Arabidopsis thaliana: one gene and its partners. The protein of the gene in region 3 purifies or fractionates together with the protein of the main gene of each other region. This does not show direct contact. Each region holds a gene or a part of one and is shown on either strand. Other genes may lie near its edges. The genes, in order: AT1G18540, AT5G27850 and AT1G57660.

What was found.
Region 1: the proteins of AT1G57660 (region 3) and AT1G18540 fractionate together in Arabidopsis thaliana (co-fractionation; one large-scale study listed by BioGRID). This does not show direct contact.
Region 2: the proteins of AT1G57660 (region 3) and AT5G27850 fractionate together in Arabidopsis thaliana (co-fractionation; one large-scale study listed by BioGRID). This does not show direct contact.

What each region holds. Positions count from the first base shown.
Region 1 is NC_003070.9:6,376,528-6,381,135, forward strand, and holds AT1G18540 (Ribosomal protein L6 family protein), read right to left. Parts: upstream 2,054-4,608; 5' UTR 2,022-2,053; coding exon 1,765-2,021; intron 1,556-1,764; coding exon 1,449-1,555; intron 1,361-1,448; coding exon 1,179-1,360; intron 1,077-1,178; coding exon 921-1,076; 3' UTR 730-920; coding exon of another isoform or gene 256-729; 3' UTR 112-255; downstream 1-111. Other genes in the region: AT1G18530 (EF hand calcium-binding protein family), read left to right, coding at 256-729.
Region 2 is NC_003076.8:9,870,837-9,875,444, reverse strand, and holds AT5G27850 (Ribosomal protein L18e/L15 superfamily protein), read right to left. Parts: upstream 2,379-4,608; 5' UTR 2,277-2,378; coding exon 2,274-2,276; exon of another isoform or gene 2,108-2,273; coding exon 2,018-2,107; intron 1,925-2,017; coding exon 1,796-1,924; intron 1,575-1,795; coding exon 1,392-1,574; intron 1,307-1,391; coding exon 1,148-1,306; 3' UTR 472-1,147; downstream 1-471. Other genes in the region: AT5G27860 (uncharacterized protein), read left to right, coding at 1-44, 127-183, 285-377.
Region 3 is NC_003070.9:21,352,842-21,357,449, forward strand, and holds AT1G57660 (Translation protein SH3-like family protein), read left to right. Parts: upstream 1-2,633; 5' UTR 2,634-2,725; coding exon 2,726-2,962; intron 2,963-3,265; coding exon 3,266-3,523; 3' UTR 3,524-3,796; downstream 3,797-4,608. Other genes in the region: AT1G57650 (ATP binding protein), read left to right, coding at 1-699, 1,351-1,470; AT1G57670 (Toll-Interleukin-Resistance (TIR) domain family protein), read right to left, coding at 4,328-4,608.

The DNA of each region.
Region 1 (4,608 bases), about 15 Mb from region 3:
ATGTGGTCTTATCTATTTTTATCAGCAACCATTAACAAACCAACGAAAAAGAAAAGAACAAACAAAACATTAAAACATAGAAAAGATCCAGAATTCTAAATTCTACGTGCTCAAAAAGAAACAAAACTTCAATCTTAAATCTCCTTTCTGGCACACCCTTCATTGACAATCATAACCTCTTGTCTCATCAATCTCTCTCGTCGCCAACATTGATTAATCGATTTTTATTTGTGTTGCTAAAGAAAGAAAGAAAAAATGGAGGATCAGATAAGACAACTTAAAGACATTTTCGACCGGTTCGACATGGACGCAGACGGAAGCTTAACAATCTTAGAACTCGCGGCACTTCTCCGGTCACTCGGTCTCAAACCTTCCGGCGATCAAATCCATGTTTTGTTAGCTAGCATGGACTCAAACGGCAACGGTTTTGTCGAATTCGATGAGCTCGTTGGTACAATTCTTCCTGATCTTAACGAAGAGGTCCTAATCAATTCCGAGCAATTACTCGAGATTTTCAAATCGTTCGATAGAGACGGTAACGGGTTCATAAGTGCGGCTGAGCTTGCAGGAGCAATGGCCAAGATGGGTCAACCATTAACGTATAAAGAATTAACGGAGATGATCAAAGAAGCTGATACAAATGGTGATGGTGTTATAAGCTTTGGAGAGTTTGCTTCAATTATGGCAAAATCTGCTGTTGATTACTTTGGATTAAAAATTAATTCGTGATCATTTCTTATGCTTTTTCATTTATTCATTTTTATAGAAAATCGAATTCATAACACCAGGTCTTAAAGCTAGATTGCTCGAAAATTTGATATATAAAATCAGAGAAAATAGTCTTTAAGATCCAAGGACGATTAAAGATGAAAATACTCAGGGAAACAGATATTCTTAAAATTTGAGAAACAATACGAAATCTAGAAAACAAGCTCATGTGGTTTCATTCCTTGACTCAATGAGAACCTGGCTCCAAGGTAAACCTTGAGCTCTGGGACAGCTTCAATGGATTTGATCAGAGCAGCATCAACGGTTTTCTGGTCTTCCTTCTTCTCCTGTGGGATCTCCTTCTTCTCCTGTTCAACCCAAAGTTTTCAATTAGGTAATGGTACAAAGACAAGAAAACACATAATAACCATTTTTGGATAAAACCAAATATCCATAAGATGATTGTATACCTCTTTCTCAGCTTCGAAGAATTCGCCTTCTGTTTTCTTCTTCTTCTTCTCAGCAACCTTTCCAAAATACTTGTCATCGAATTTCTCAGTGTTGACTCCAGAAATGTCAATCTTTGTGGAGGTTCCAATCACATAGGCTTGGTTAACACGTCTCAATGGAACACCATTAATCTTGAATGGTCCTGAAATGACCAAATCAACAAAGACAAACATTAACATAGGTTCCAAATTGAACAATCAAACCAACACCATCGAGAGATAAGAGTTCACCTGTTACAAGAAGCAAACCAGAAGAAAGTTGCTTGAGGAAGACAACTCTCTTACCCTTGAATCTACCAGCAAGAATGATCAACACAGTTCCTGGAGTGATGCTGGCTCTGCAACACAGAGATAAACAAAACCATATTCATATCAAAAATGAAGCATAGCCATAATCTCTAGGAATCCTACATTTCTAAAAATCCTAACAATTTGTATGGTCTCTCTTATATCACCAGTAGATCCAAAACCATTCTAATACTAGATCTAGCGGAATCAAACTCAAATGAAAATTAAAAACCAATCGAAGAAGAAGATGGATAAATACTTTAGCTTGGTAGGCTTAGGCTTGCGTCTGTTAACAAGCGGCTTCTTGACGTCTTCCGCCGGATAAAACTTGGCAGGCTTCTCAACCGGAGCGTCGACCTTTGGCTGAGCATCGTGACGAGGGAAAACGCCACCGTTCTTGGCCTTGATAGCCCACAAACCTCTCTTGTGGTACATCTGAGACCTCGAATATTTTCCAACTCCCCTGATTAGGTCAGGGTTACGGTTAACCTTGGGAGTCCTCTTCGCCGCCGGCATTTTTTCGGCTTCGGTGGTGTAAAATCTATCAGAGACATAAACCCTAGATTGAGCTTTTATATAGCAGAAAGTAAAAACCTAATGGGCCCTTATGGTCTAGAATACTTTAATATGGGCTTCATATGGGGGTCTAGTGCAAAAGTGTGTTATTGCAAAATATTGGGCTTTAAATGAAGTATTTTTGTACTTACTATTTGGCAGGTAAGTAAAAGTGTTTTTTTGATAAAAATGATATCTATCCCGTTAAACAATTTTGTTCATAAAAATTTTGTTGGATAAGTTATATTTAATCCAATTCTTATACCGGATATTTCATATTTAACAATATACATAATTAGAACTTAGAAGATTTGATTAAAGTTTAAAATTATGACTTTTTTATCATATTTATTTAACTTTTTAAATTGATTTGAATCATCATATAATACATAAAATAAGAGTTACAATTATATCTTATACGTATTATATAGCTTTAAAAAAACACAATACACGACACCAAACATAAGCATAAGAAAAAGAATCATAAAGTATACACTAGATCATAATCTGTATTTGTTTAGCACGGAGAAAAATTTATTTTTTAAATATTTATTTAAAGTTGGATTATTGTCTGTTTTATAATACAATTTTAATCATTCTATACATAATACAAATATTCACTTGTTATAGGGATAGGGGTATGATTTTTTTGGTTTGGTTTGGTTTCAGTTAGGTTTAGTTTTGGTTTTATAAAAACTAAAACCATATAGAAACTATATGTAATTCGATTTGGTTACGATTGGTTTGTACAATTTTTTATTTTATATAAATTAAAACCATATAAAACCATATGTATCTCGACCCATGCTACAACATACAAAATTTTATATATTATATATTTTAAAATAAAATTTATATATTAATTTTGGGATTTTTCTGTTTTGCCGTCGGCATCTCTTAGTGGCGTAAACCCTAATTGACAGTCGAAAGCTTTTAAATATAAGGACGATACCGGCAAAAATAAAATCTAATGGGCCTTATATGGGTTTAATTCAACACTGCTACTCTAATGCTTCCAAAAGAAAACTCCATTCGATAAGGATTTGCTTCCCAGTTCAGGGAGAGGTGAATATTTTTCAAACTAACTCCAATAGTTTGGCATCTTCCTAGAGAGGAAACACCCCGCCTTAGCCACTAGAATATTTCCGACGTAGTTTGGTATCCGAAGTAAACTTTCCTCAACTCCATCCATTGTAGCTCTAAACACCCTAAATTGAGCTTTTAGATAGCAGAAAATAAAAAACCTAATGGGCCCTTATATGGTTTAGAAAACTTTAATATGGGGGTCTCGATATTTTTAGTACCAAAGTGTTTTTATTGCAAAACATTGGGCCTTACATGAAGTATTTTTGTACTTACTATTTGGCGGGTAAGTAAAAGTGTTTTCTTGATAAAAATGGTATCCATCCCGTTAAACAATTTTGTTCATAAAAATTTTGTTGGATAAGTTATATTTAATCCAACTCTTACACCGGATATTTCATATTTAACAATATACATAGTTAAAACTTAGAATATTTGATTAAAGTTTAAAATTATGACTTTTCTATCATATTTGTTTAACTTTTTAAATTGTTTTGAATCATCATATAATACATAAAGTAAGAGTTACAATTATATCTTATACGTATTATATAGCTTTAAAAAACACAATACACGACACCAAACGTAAGTATAAGAAAAAGAATCATAAAGTATACACTAGATCATAATCTGTTTTGGTTTAGCACGGAGAAAAATTAATTTTTAAATATTTATTTAAAGTTGGATTATTGTCTGTTTTATAATACAATTTTAATCATTCTATACATAATACAAATATTTACTTGTTATAGGGATAGGGGTACAATTTTTTTGGTTTGGTTTGGTTTCGGTTAGGTTTAGTTTTGGTTTTATAAAAACTAAAACCATATAGAAACTGTATGTAATTCGATTTGGTTACGATTGGTTTGTACAGTTTTTTTATTTTATATAAATTAAAACCATATAAAACCATATGTATCTCGACCCATGCTACAACATACAAAATTTTATATATTATATATTTTAAAATAAAGTTTCTATATTAATTTTGGGAGTTCTCTGTTTTGCCGCCAGCATCTCTTAGTGGCGTAAACCCTAATTGACAGTCGAAAGTTTTTAAATATAAGGACGATAGCGGCAAAAATAAAACCTAATGGGCCTTATATGGGTTTAATGCAACATCGCTACTCTAATGTTTCCAAAATGAAACTTTATTCGATAAGGAATTGCTTCCCAGTTTAGGGAGAGGTGAATAATTTTTCAAAATAACTCTAATAGTTTGGCATATTCCCAGAGAGGAAACACCCCGCCTTAGCCACTAGAATATTTCCGCGTAGTTTGGTATCCGAAATAAACTTTTCCTCAACTCAATCATGTTTTCAACTGTAGCTCTATCCTCACGGCAGAGATCTAACTCCAAATTATAAACCTTTAGCTTGTTTCTATTGTAAGATAGACGGGCTAGCTGAACAATCTTGGCTGCATGGTTCTCCGATGTGAATTGCACCTCTGCATAGCGTCCTTC
Region 2 (4,608 bases), on a different chromosome or scaffold from region 3:
AAGGGGAAGGAGAAGGAAGTAGCGGGCCTGTAAAACTATCAAAGGTACTATAGCTATATATACCCATAAAGATCTAAAGTTTATATGAAGTCCATGTTTTATGATTCAGTTTCTTTCATGATTCAGTTTTTGAACCGCGACAAAGACGATGGTGAACGTAGAAGTGCTGTTTCAGGGAAAAAAGTTAGTCTGAGACTCTCTTTAGGGTTGTCTAATATTACACCCTACACAACTATTTTCTGTTTTCTTTTCTCACTTCCTTCTTCTGATGTGTTTGGCTATAGATTCTGCTGAAGGTTGACAAGTCCAAAGAGGACAAAGCTGCAGAGAGCAAAAGAAATGAACTGCTTAAGTTCTTAAACGCAAGTTTCGACTAGTATTTTTCGCTTTTGTCTCGATGACAGAATCTCAACAACAAGAAGAATGTAAGATGGTATTTGATTAGATTCTAGTTTCCGTATCTGTTTGGTGATTCAGATCCTTGTTTTGTTTTTCCAGAGGACTAATCCTGTCATGGATTTGTTTTACTTCTATTTTCTTGTTTAGTCTTAAAGTTTGTGTTATCGCACACTGTTCTTCTTGGAAACCCGAGAAATGGTTACTGAGATTTTATCCGTGCGTACATTAAAACCATTTCCAACTTGCAAGATTCAGTATGGAACTTTCGAGCCATCTCCTGTTACCATGGAGCTGTGTTCCAATGTTGTTGGATTACATCCACTTGTGCTGAGAAGACTTGATGCGTTCTTATTTGACAAGCTTCATTATGATTATGGATATACGATTTTTGCTAGAACCTAATAGACAACGAATTAGGTGGGTTAGTACGAAACAGAACATTTTTCAGGGTTGTTTACACATTTTAATACTCATGTACAGATATTTTATTTCCAAGGAAGAGAAATACAAAACGAAATAGACCATAATGATACTATGAACTCCAAATACTGATCAAATCCAAATTCTAGATAAAATCTCATTGCAGCTAATAGTAGTAAGATTAAAAGACAAAGCAAAATATCCAATTGTCTTGAGAATAGAAAAACAGAACTTAAAACAAAGTCTGGAACAGGGTAAAGAGGAACCAGCGTTCCCTACCAAAACTTCGATACTTAAACCAAGCAAAACGAAACCAGAAAACATCTTCTTAGACCTTGAATCCACGACTCTTTCGCTTTCCTCTAGCTTTCTCAAACTTCCTTCCCTTATGCCTAACATATGGCTTAGTGTTACTGTGTGGCACACCAGGAGCAGGTCCGAAATGCTTCACTGCTTCACGCGAGTTCTTTGGTCCTCTAAGAAGAACCTGTCACAACATATCAAACACAGCTCAGTTTCATATATAAACTTGAATTATCCTAAACATTCAGATAGTGTAAAATTTTACTTACTGTGTTCTGTCCCAATGGAGCTCTGAGAGCAAGCTGGTCAAAGGTTAAGCACTCTCCACCAGCTTTCTCAATTCTAGCCCTAGCCCTCTCAGTAAACCTCAAGGCAGTAACCTTCATGGCAGGAATCTCATGAACTCTCAAATCATCAGTGATAGTTCCAACCAACACAGCAATCTTGTCATCCTAATAAATAGACAAACCACAACATTTGAGTACTCTAACCATCACTGAATAGTAAGATACAAAATCAAGTTTGTACATTTGTTCTCACATACTAACATAACAGGACAACGTCAAAACTCATAACTTCACAGAATGAAAATAAAATAAATGGGGTTCCAAATTAAGACCAAGGACAGACTCAAGATGTATATAAAGAGAGATGGGTCTCAAAAAGATCGAACCTTGCCAGTCATGAACTCTACAAGCCTAGAGAGTGAAAGAGGAGCTTTGTTGACTTTGCTCATGAAAAGCCTTTTCAGAATCACAGCATTGAAGTTGCTGTTAGATCTCCTCACCAAAAACCGGTAAAGCTACAAAATTTATCAAAAACACAAACAAATCTCAATAAACCAAAATGTAACAGACAGAGAAACATAAGTAAAAGACATGTCAATATTTGTTACCTTGACGAGAAGCTTTAGGTAGACATCATCGGACTTAGGAGCAGTCCTTTTGGTCTTCTTACTCTTACCTCCTGCGATAAGATCGATACCCTAAAATAACAACAACGATAAAACACTCAAATGCAAATCCATAACGAAACATCAGAAACCTAAGGAACCATTACACGCTAAACCAACTAGATCAAGCTCGCAAACGGAGAATTCATTTTGTAATACATAAGAAACGGAGATTGAGAGGCGGAGATCAAGAATTTACCATGGCTGCGTCTGCGAGAGGAAAACGAAGTTAGGGTTTATGAATTTATAGGAGCAACAAGCAAGCTCGCTTACATTTTAGGTTTTTATGGGCTTTATCTTCGCTTTAGGCTATTTGGGCCCAAACTAGAAGCCCATTTGTTTCACATCCTTCGGCTTCGGTTATATGATTTTGTTGAGATCAAAATCAATATTTTACTCTTTCTTTTTATGGTAAGACAAATAAATTTTTTATTCAAGTATATTAAGTGTAGATTATTGTCTTCAGAAAAAATAAAACTGTATATCTCAATTATGAGGATTCACGATTAGAGAACGTAGAATAATGGTATTATTTTGATCAGTGTTATAAACCGGATAAGTATGGATGTCATTATCCATCATTCATCTCTATCCATAAGATATGGATGATGTTTATCCATTATTTCTTCCTTAAGATATAGATGATGTTTATCCATTATTTCCTTCTTAAAATATGGATGATGTTTATCCATTACTTCATCTTTAAGATATGGATGATGTTTATCCATTACTATTCTCTAAGTAATTTACTTCCTAGCTAAGTAAGCTCTACTATATATAACTCATTTCATTCATTTATAAGATATAGAGAAAACAGAGAAAAAGAGAAGAGAAAGAGAAAGCAATAAGAAAACTCTTGTTTCGAGTTTTATTCTCTCTAGTCTTCATTCTTATTTCTTAATTTAATCTTTTATGACAATCAGAAGGTTTTTGTAATGCATTATTGCTAAAGTTTTATACAAAAATTAGGATCTTGTTTGCCAGCTAAAAAAAACTAATAGATGATGTTCATAGATACAATAAAATGGTGCAATCGGTTTTAACATGACATAATAATTGATATGTTCTTACTTCCATAATTTTTAGTTTGCTTTACAGTTTTGTATTTATAAGATTTTACTACATACAAATTATTAATAATTATTGTTTGTTTTGTTGATGTGAACTTTCATCCAATAAAGTTAAGAGAGAGATGATTTGATATTTCTTTTTTGTACAAGATGTGTATGTAATGACGTTAGTTACTTCATTGTAATTAAAGTTTGTTAAAATTGACTACAAAACATAAAGAATTATTTTACACTTGTGAGTAAACAAAATCCTATAGAATTATTTTCTTACTTTTTGTTTTATCAGCAAAAGCATAAGATAATTAACTTAAATACTTTTTGAAGTTTTAGAGTATAAATGTAGTAACAAAATATTAAACATAATGAATAAGAGTTTACTTAGAAATATAGAATTAATATTTTTTATTTCGTTTAGATTTTTTTCTTTTTCCTTCCAATATTATTATCAATGCAAATGTTTTACATCATTGTATACAAACGGCTATAAAAACCTAGGACATATTCGATATAACTCAAAGTTTGTATTACTCTTGGTAGCTGTCTTGACCAAGACATCAGCATAGACGTTGTTTTCTTGATGTCGGAATTTGAACTCGATGAAGTTAAAAGCTTTACGCCATTGATGTATGAAATCAAGATAATGTCGTAATCTTGGATTGGGCTCTATGCTATTGATGATACTAGTAACAGTGACGCTGTCACCCTCGAATATTACCTTCCTATAACCAAGTCCCTATGCGCATTGTATAGCCCAAATGAGTGCAGTACATTCTCCTTCTTCAATTGTTTGGCGTCCTTGAAATTTCCCCATTCCGCAGTCCATACATGTGCCGTGTGAATTCCTGATGATCCAGCCAAGACCCGCGGTTATCTTTCCTTCATAGTGAGAGACATCGTAGTTACACTTGACCCATCCTACTGGAGGCTTTTGCCAATTAGCCTTTCTCGATGTAGATGATAGTTGGTCTCGGGTATTTCTTTCTGGGGGTCGCATGTTATCTAGCCATTCCTTTGTGTCGAGGGACGCTTGTTTGACTATATCAGTTGTATCCTTTGCTCTTTTGTTGAAGACTAAATCATTTCGGCTCTTCCAAATACGCCACATTAGCCAAAATGGTAAAAGTCGTCCGGTTGTCTCAACCTTTGTATCCTCATGCAACGTTAATAAATAGCGGACTTTATTCTTCATTGTCTCGTCTGGGCTCAAAGTACATGTGTGGGAATTCCTGAAGCTCTCCATATTTGTTTCACCTGTGGACATGTGAACATTGCATGATTATTTGTTTCTACCTCATTGCAGCATCGTGGACAATATGGGTTGACATTAATGTTTCGTCGTCTTAAATTTTCAGAGATCCCAATTGCTTTGGATGAAAAAATCTCCACAAGAAATGCTTAAGTTTTTGAACAATTTGGAGACGCCATATTTTTGGGGGATATCTGTGTTAACTGTAAGCAGAGCTT
Region 3 (4,608 bases):
CTTCGTGAATGTTCAAGTCTTGTATCACTCCCGCAGCTTCCAGATTCCATAATGGTCCTAAATGCACGAAATTGCGAGTCCCTAGAGAAACTAGATTGCTCCTTTTACAATCCAGGTATTCTTCTCAACTTCGTTAACTGCTTCAACCTAAATCAAGAAGCAAGAGATCTCCTCATCGAGACATCAACTGTTAATTTTGTGGTCTTACCTGGTAAAGAAGTGCCTGCGTGCTTCACTTACAGAAGTCATGGGAGTTCCGTATCAGTGAAGGTTAATCAAAAGCTTCTTCATACGTCAACCAAATTTAAGGCTTGCATCTTGTTTGAGAACGAGGTCGATAATGAAACTTATTATTTTGATTTGGACACACTTTGTGTGTATACGAAGACGAATAAGGATTGCATCTTGTTGGATAATAAAGGTGAAGATGATGAGGTTGGTATTCAGAAACGAGGGTTGGTGTCTTGTCGCATCGGTTCCGAATGGCGTTTCTCTGAATGGTATCCATTTATAACGGATCATCTATACATTTTCGAAGTTGAAGCAAAGGAGGTGACTTCCACAGAGCTTATTTTTTATTTCGAGATATTCGATGAGTATTCCAAGGCTAGGGAGATAAAAGAATGCGGGATAATCCACCTCTTGGAACATCATGTTGACGACGAAGAAAAGATGGATACAATTGAGAAGGAACCCAAGGTTCACATATAGCAATATGCATTTGTCAAGTGCGTTGATTCTTTTAAAAATGGCTTGAGCCACATGTTTGCACATATCACTATGAGTCTATGTTTGAATGTTTAGAAAATATTCTACAACCATTAAACTTCTTCTCTAACATTTATATATTTCCATTTTCTTACATGTTTTTTTAGAGGATAAGGACAAAGAGATTCATGGTTATGCATAGTTATATGTGAGGCTAACATGACTCTTTCTGAGTATATAAGCTATATGTGAATCATGGGTTCCTTCTATTTTAGTATCTTGATCAGTCACTATTGTTATCACTATACTGTAGTCGGAAATTTTCAAAAACTTTGAAGTTGCTATCGATATCTCAAAATGCGTTAAGTCGAGGAAACGTATAGGAGCTAGAACCAACCTGGATGCTAAGGAGATCTGCGAGACAATTCAGTAAGCTCTTTTTGCTTGCACACATGTTTTATATGGATACATAATACTCATACATAAAACATATAAACAATAATACAAGTAATGTCGATTATGGTAATTTTTTTCTAACCATTTCTATATCATATTACCATTCAAGAATATAGGATAATGACATCGGGGTTGAATCACATTTCCATTCATATTTCTAGCTAATCACATCGCTCTTGACCTCAGATCTTAATCGCACCTAAAATGGATTGCCATTCGGAGCCAATGCCACTGGGAAAATGCATTGTGGTCTATGGTCTACAGATTGTTTACTTGAAACAATACATCTTATATAGGTCAGAGTGATCCATGGATGTCTCTTGTTCAAGAATACTCTATACCTTTTCTCTGCTAAGAAAAAACTTTCCTTTGATTCCTTTTTTTGTTTTAACTGTTAGTGTAACTGTGTAAGATTTTATTCTTACGTTACTATATAACTAGACAATAAGGTTCCCGTTATGAACTAAATTCACATGGAGAAATGAAATTGATATTATTTGGAATAACTTTTTGAGTTTTATAGAGCTTAATCCGGTAAAAAAAAACAGAGGGATTTTAGGATTGTTGTGAATTACATACTAACTTTATGTCCAAATCTCATATTTTGCTCGCATGTAGGGAGTTTTTTTGTAATTAACAAATAGTAGTAACAATATCAAATGTTTTTGTATTCTTGTAAAATTATTTGTTTAGTTTGTTTAAGAAACGAAAGGAAAAATTGAATATTAAAGACCTTTTTCCAAAAGTTTGTCCATCTATATTTTATATAGATAATAACTTTGGTGAGATAGATTTAAGGAAAATTAAAAACCAATTATACTCTTAACTATAAAATGAAATAAAATATAGAATTGAAAAAAAATATGATTCTATATCTCCAAATCCAAAAACCCTCACAAGAATAGAGGCTTACTTCTAAACCCCAATATAAATTTTCAACATAATTTGTCAAGGAGCCTTTTACATTAACGTTGATTTGCAGCATAATTGTTTTTTAAATATGAAAAGAGCATGGAAGGAGGATGAGAAAAAAACACTAGTGGAAAGGAGAAAAGAAAGAAAATTAATTGTTTAGGTTATTATAAGAGAGAATCTATTTTGTATGATTTTTACTTCTAAACTAATCAGAATACTTATTCTAAATTACGTTAGAAACACAATAAATACATAATATTCACCATATATTTGATTACTTATAATATCTTACATAAAGATTTAGTAAACCGAATAAAACACAAACAAGTTTCAGTTTAAGAAGTTTAGTTAAAATTTTAATATTTTACTATAACCAAATTAACTAAACCGAACCAATTCCAAACCGAAATGCACACAAAATTAACATACCAAACTTTGTGCCCAAATTATACAAAATGTAGGGGTAATTAACAAAACAATTACGTACCTCCCCTTTTAACTCCTCAAATCCAATGGGTATTTACAGATCTATGGCCCAATCAGGCCCATTTATGAAAACCCTAATTCACTTTATAAGTGTCATGTTTTTTATCTTAACAATGGCTTCTCTAGGGTTTCAGCCACCAGACTCAAACAGAGAGTGAAAATGCCGGCGGGACACGGAGTGAGGGCGAGAACAAGAGATCTGTTCGCGAGACCATTCAGGAAGAAGGGTTATATTCCACTCTCCACTTACCTCAGAACCTTCAAGGTCGGCGATTACGTCGATGTCAAGGTTAATGGAGCTATCCACAAGGGTATGCCTCATAAGTTCTACCATGGTCGTACTGGTCGCATCTGGAATGTCACTAAGCGTGCCGTTGGTGTTGAAGTCAACAAACAGGTGTTGATTACTCAAATCTCTAATCTGTTTGGAAAAGTTTTGATTGTTGAAATTAGGGTTTGAATGTGATTTTGATTCTTTCATTTGGGGTTTAATTCGTCTTTGTGTGAGCTATCTGTTTTGAATTCTGAGATGTTGGATTGGTATTGGTTCGAAAGATTCAAGCTTTTCTTCTTGGGTCCTTCTTTTGCTATTTGTATTAGTTGCAATCAATCTACTATGATTCTTATTTTTGAAAGCCTTCTCTTTTAGTTTATTGTATTTCTTGGTGGGCTAATTATGTGTTTGGGTTTGGTTTTATAGATTGGGAACAGAATCATAAGGAAGAGGATACATGTGCGTGTGGAGCATGTGCAACAGTCAAGGTGTGCTGAGGAGTTTAAACTCAGAAAGAAGCAGAACGATGTGCTTAAGGCTGATGCTAAAGCCAGAGGAGAGACTATCAGCACCAAGAGACAGCCTAAAGGTCCTAAACCGGGTTTCATGGTCGAAGGTATGACATTGGAGACTGTCACTCCCATTCCTTACGATGTTGTCAACGATCTCAAGGGTGGTTATTGAGTTTTTTCCATTTTATTATCATTCTCTACTCAGAATTTTTGCACTTGCTTTTTTAATGATGTTTTTGTATCAATTAAGACTAATTTCTATATGGTATGAAAGTGCAATTCAGATTTTGTTATTAAGATTGCTTATCATAATCATTTGCTTATTGCATTTGTTTGTTTCTGAAATCATTTATGCATCCTTAGTTAAAACTGAAATGTTTATCAGTAAATCATATAATGCTAGTATCATAGTATGAGACATTTTGATTGTTGTTGAGTAGTCTTTTGTTACTACACTCCAAGGACAATAACCATTGTTTTGATGTGGGATTAATAGAAAACAGTTCCTTGGTAACATAATTACAAACCAAATGTAGAAAATACAAATGTGATATCGTCTTAAACTCGACTCACGATTTCAAGACACCAAATGTAATGCATTTCCACAAAGGAACAATGTTTCAATTCAAGGTTGTGTACTCAGCTGCCTAAGCCAATGGTTACAGTTCAATCTCCAATATAAAAGACATTTTTGTCTGACACTGATTCAGTCTTCTTCTAGCTTTCATTTCAAAGAAACCATCTGCATAATAAAGCAACCGTTGCTCTTCTAATTGTAGATTAGTTTATTCCTTTTAATCCATTAAAACTACATCAAGAAACTGAAGCAAATTTTATTTATTTCCATTAGCAATTGAAGCCACAAAAAACAAAGAGACGAAATCGATAACAAAAGCTCGCTCAGACATGCTTACCTGCCCAACGGCTCGAAATAGCCACAAAACACAAAGAGACGAAATCGAAAACAAAAGCTCGCTCAGACAGACTTATCAGCCCAACGGCTCGAAATAGCCACAACAGAGCCAACTTGACTAGCAAGAATAACCATGGTTGGTGAGGCACACTTGTGAACAATTTCATTTAGTAAGCCGAGCACTGCACCAACCAGCTCAACCGCAGAGCCAAACCATAACCATGGCAGAGCCAGTGGAACGTAAAATGTTTTCACTTTCTTCACACAATCATCTTCTCTTCCTTCACCAGAACGAACAGTGTTAATGATGCCAAGCACTGAACCAATCAGCTCTACCGCCGAAC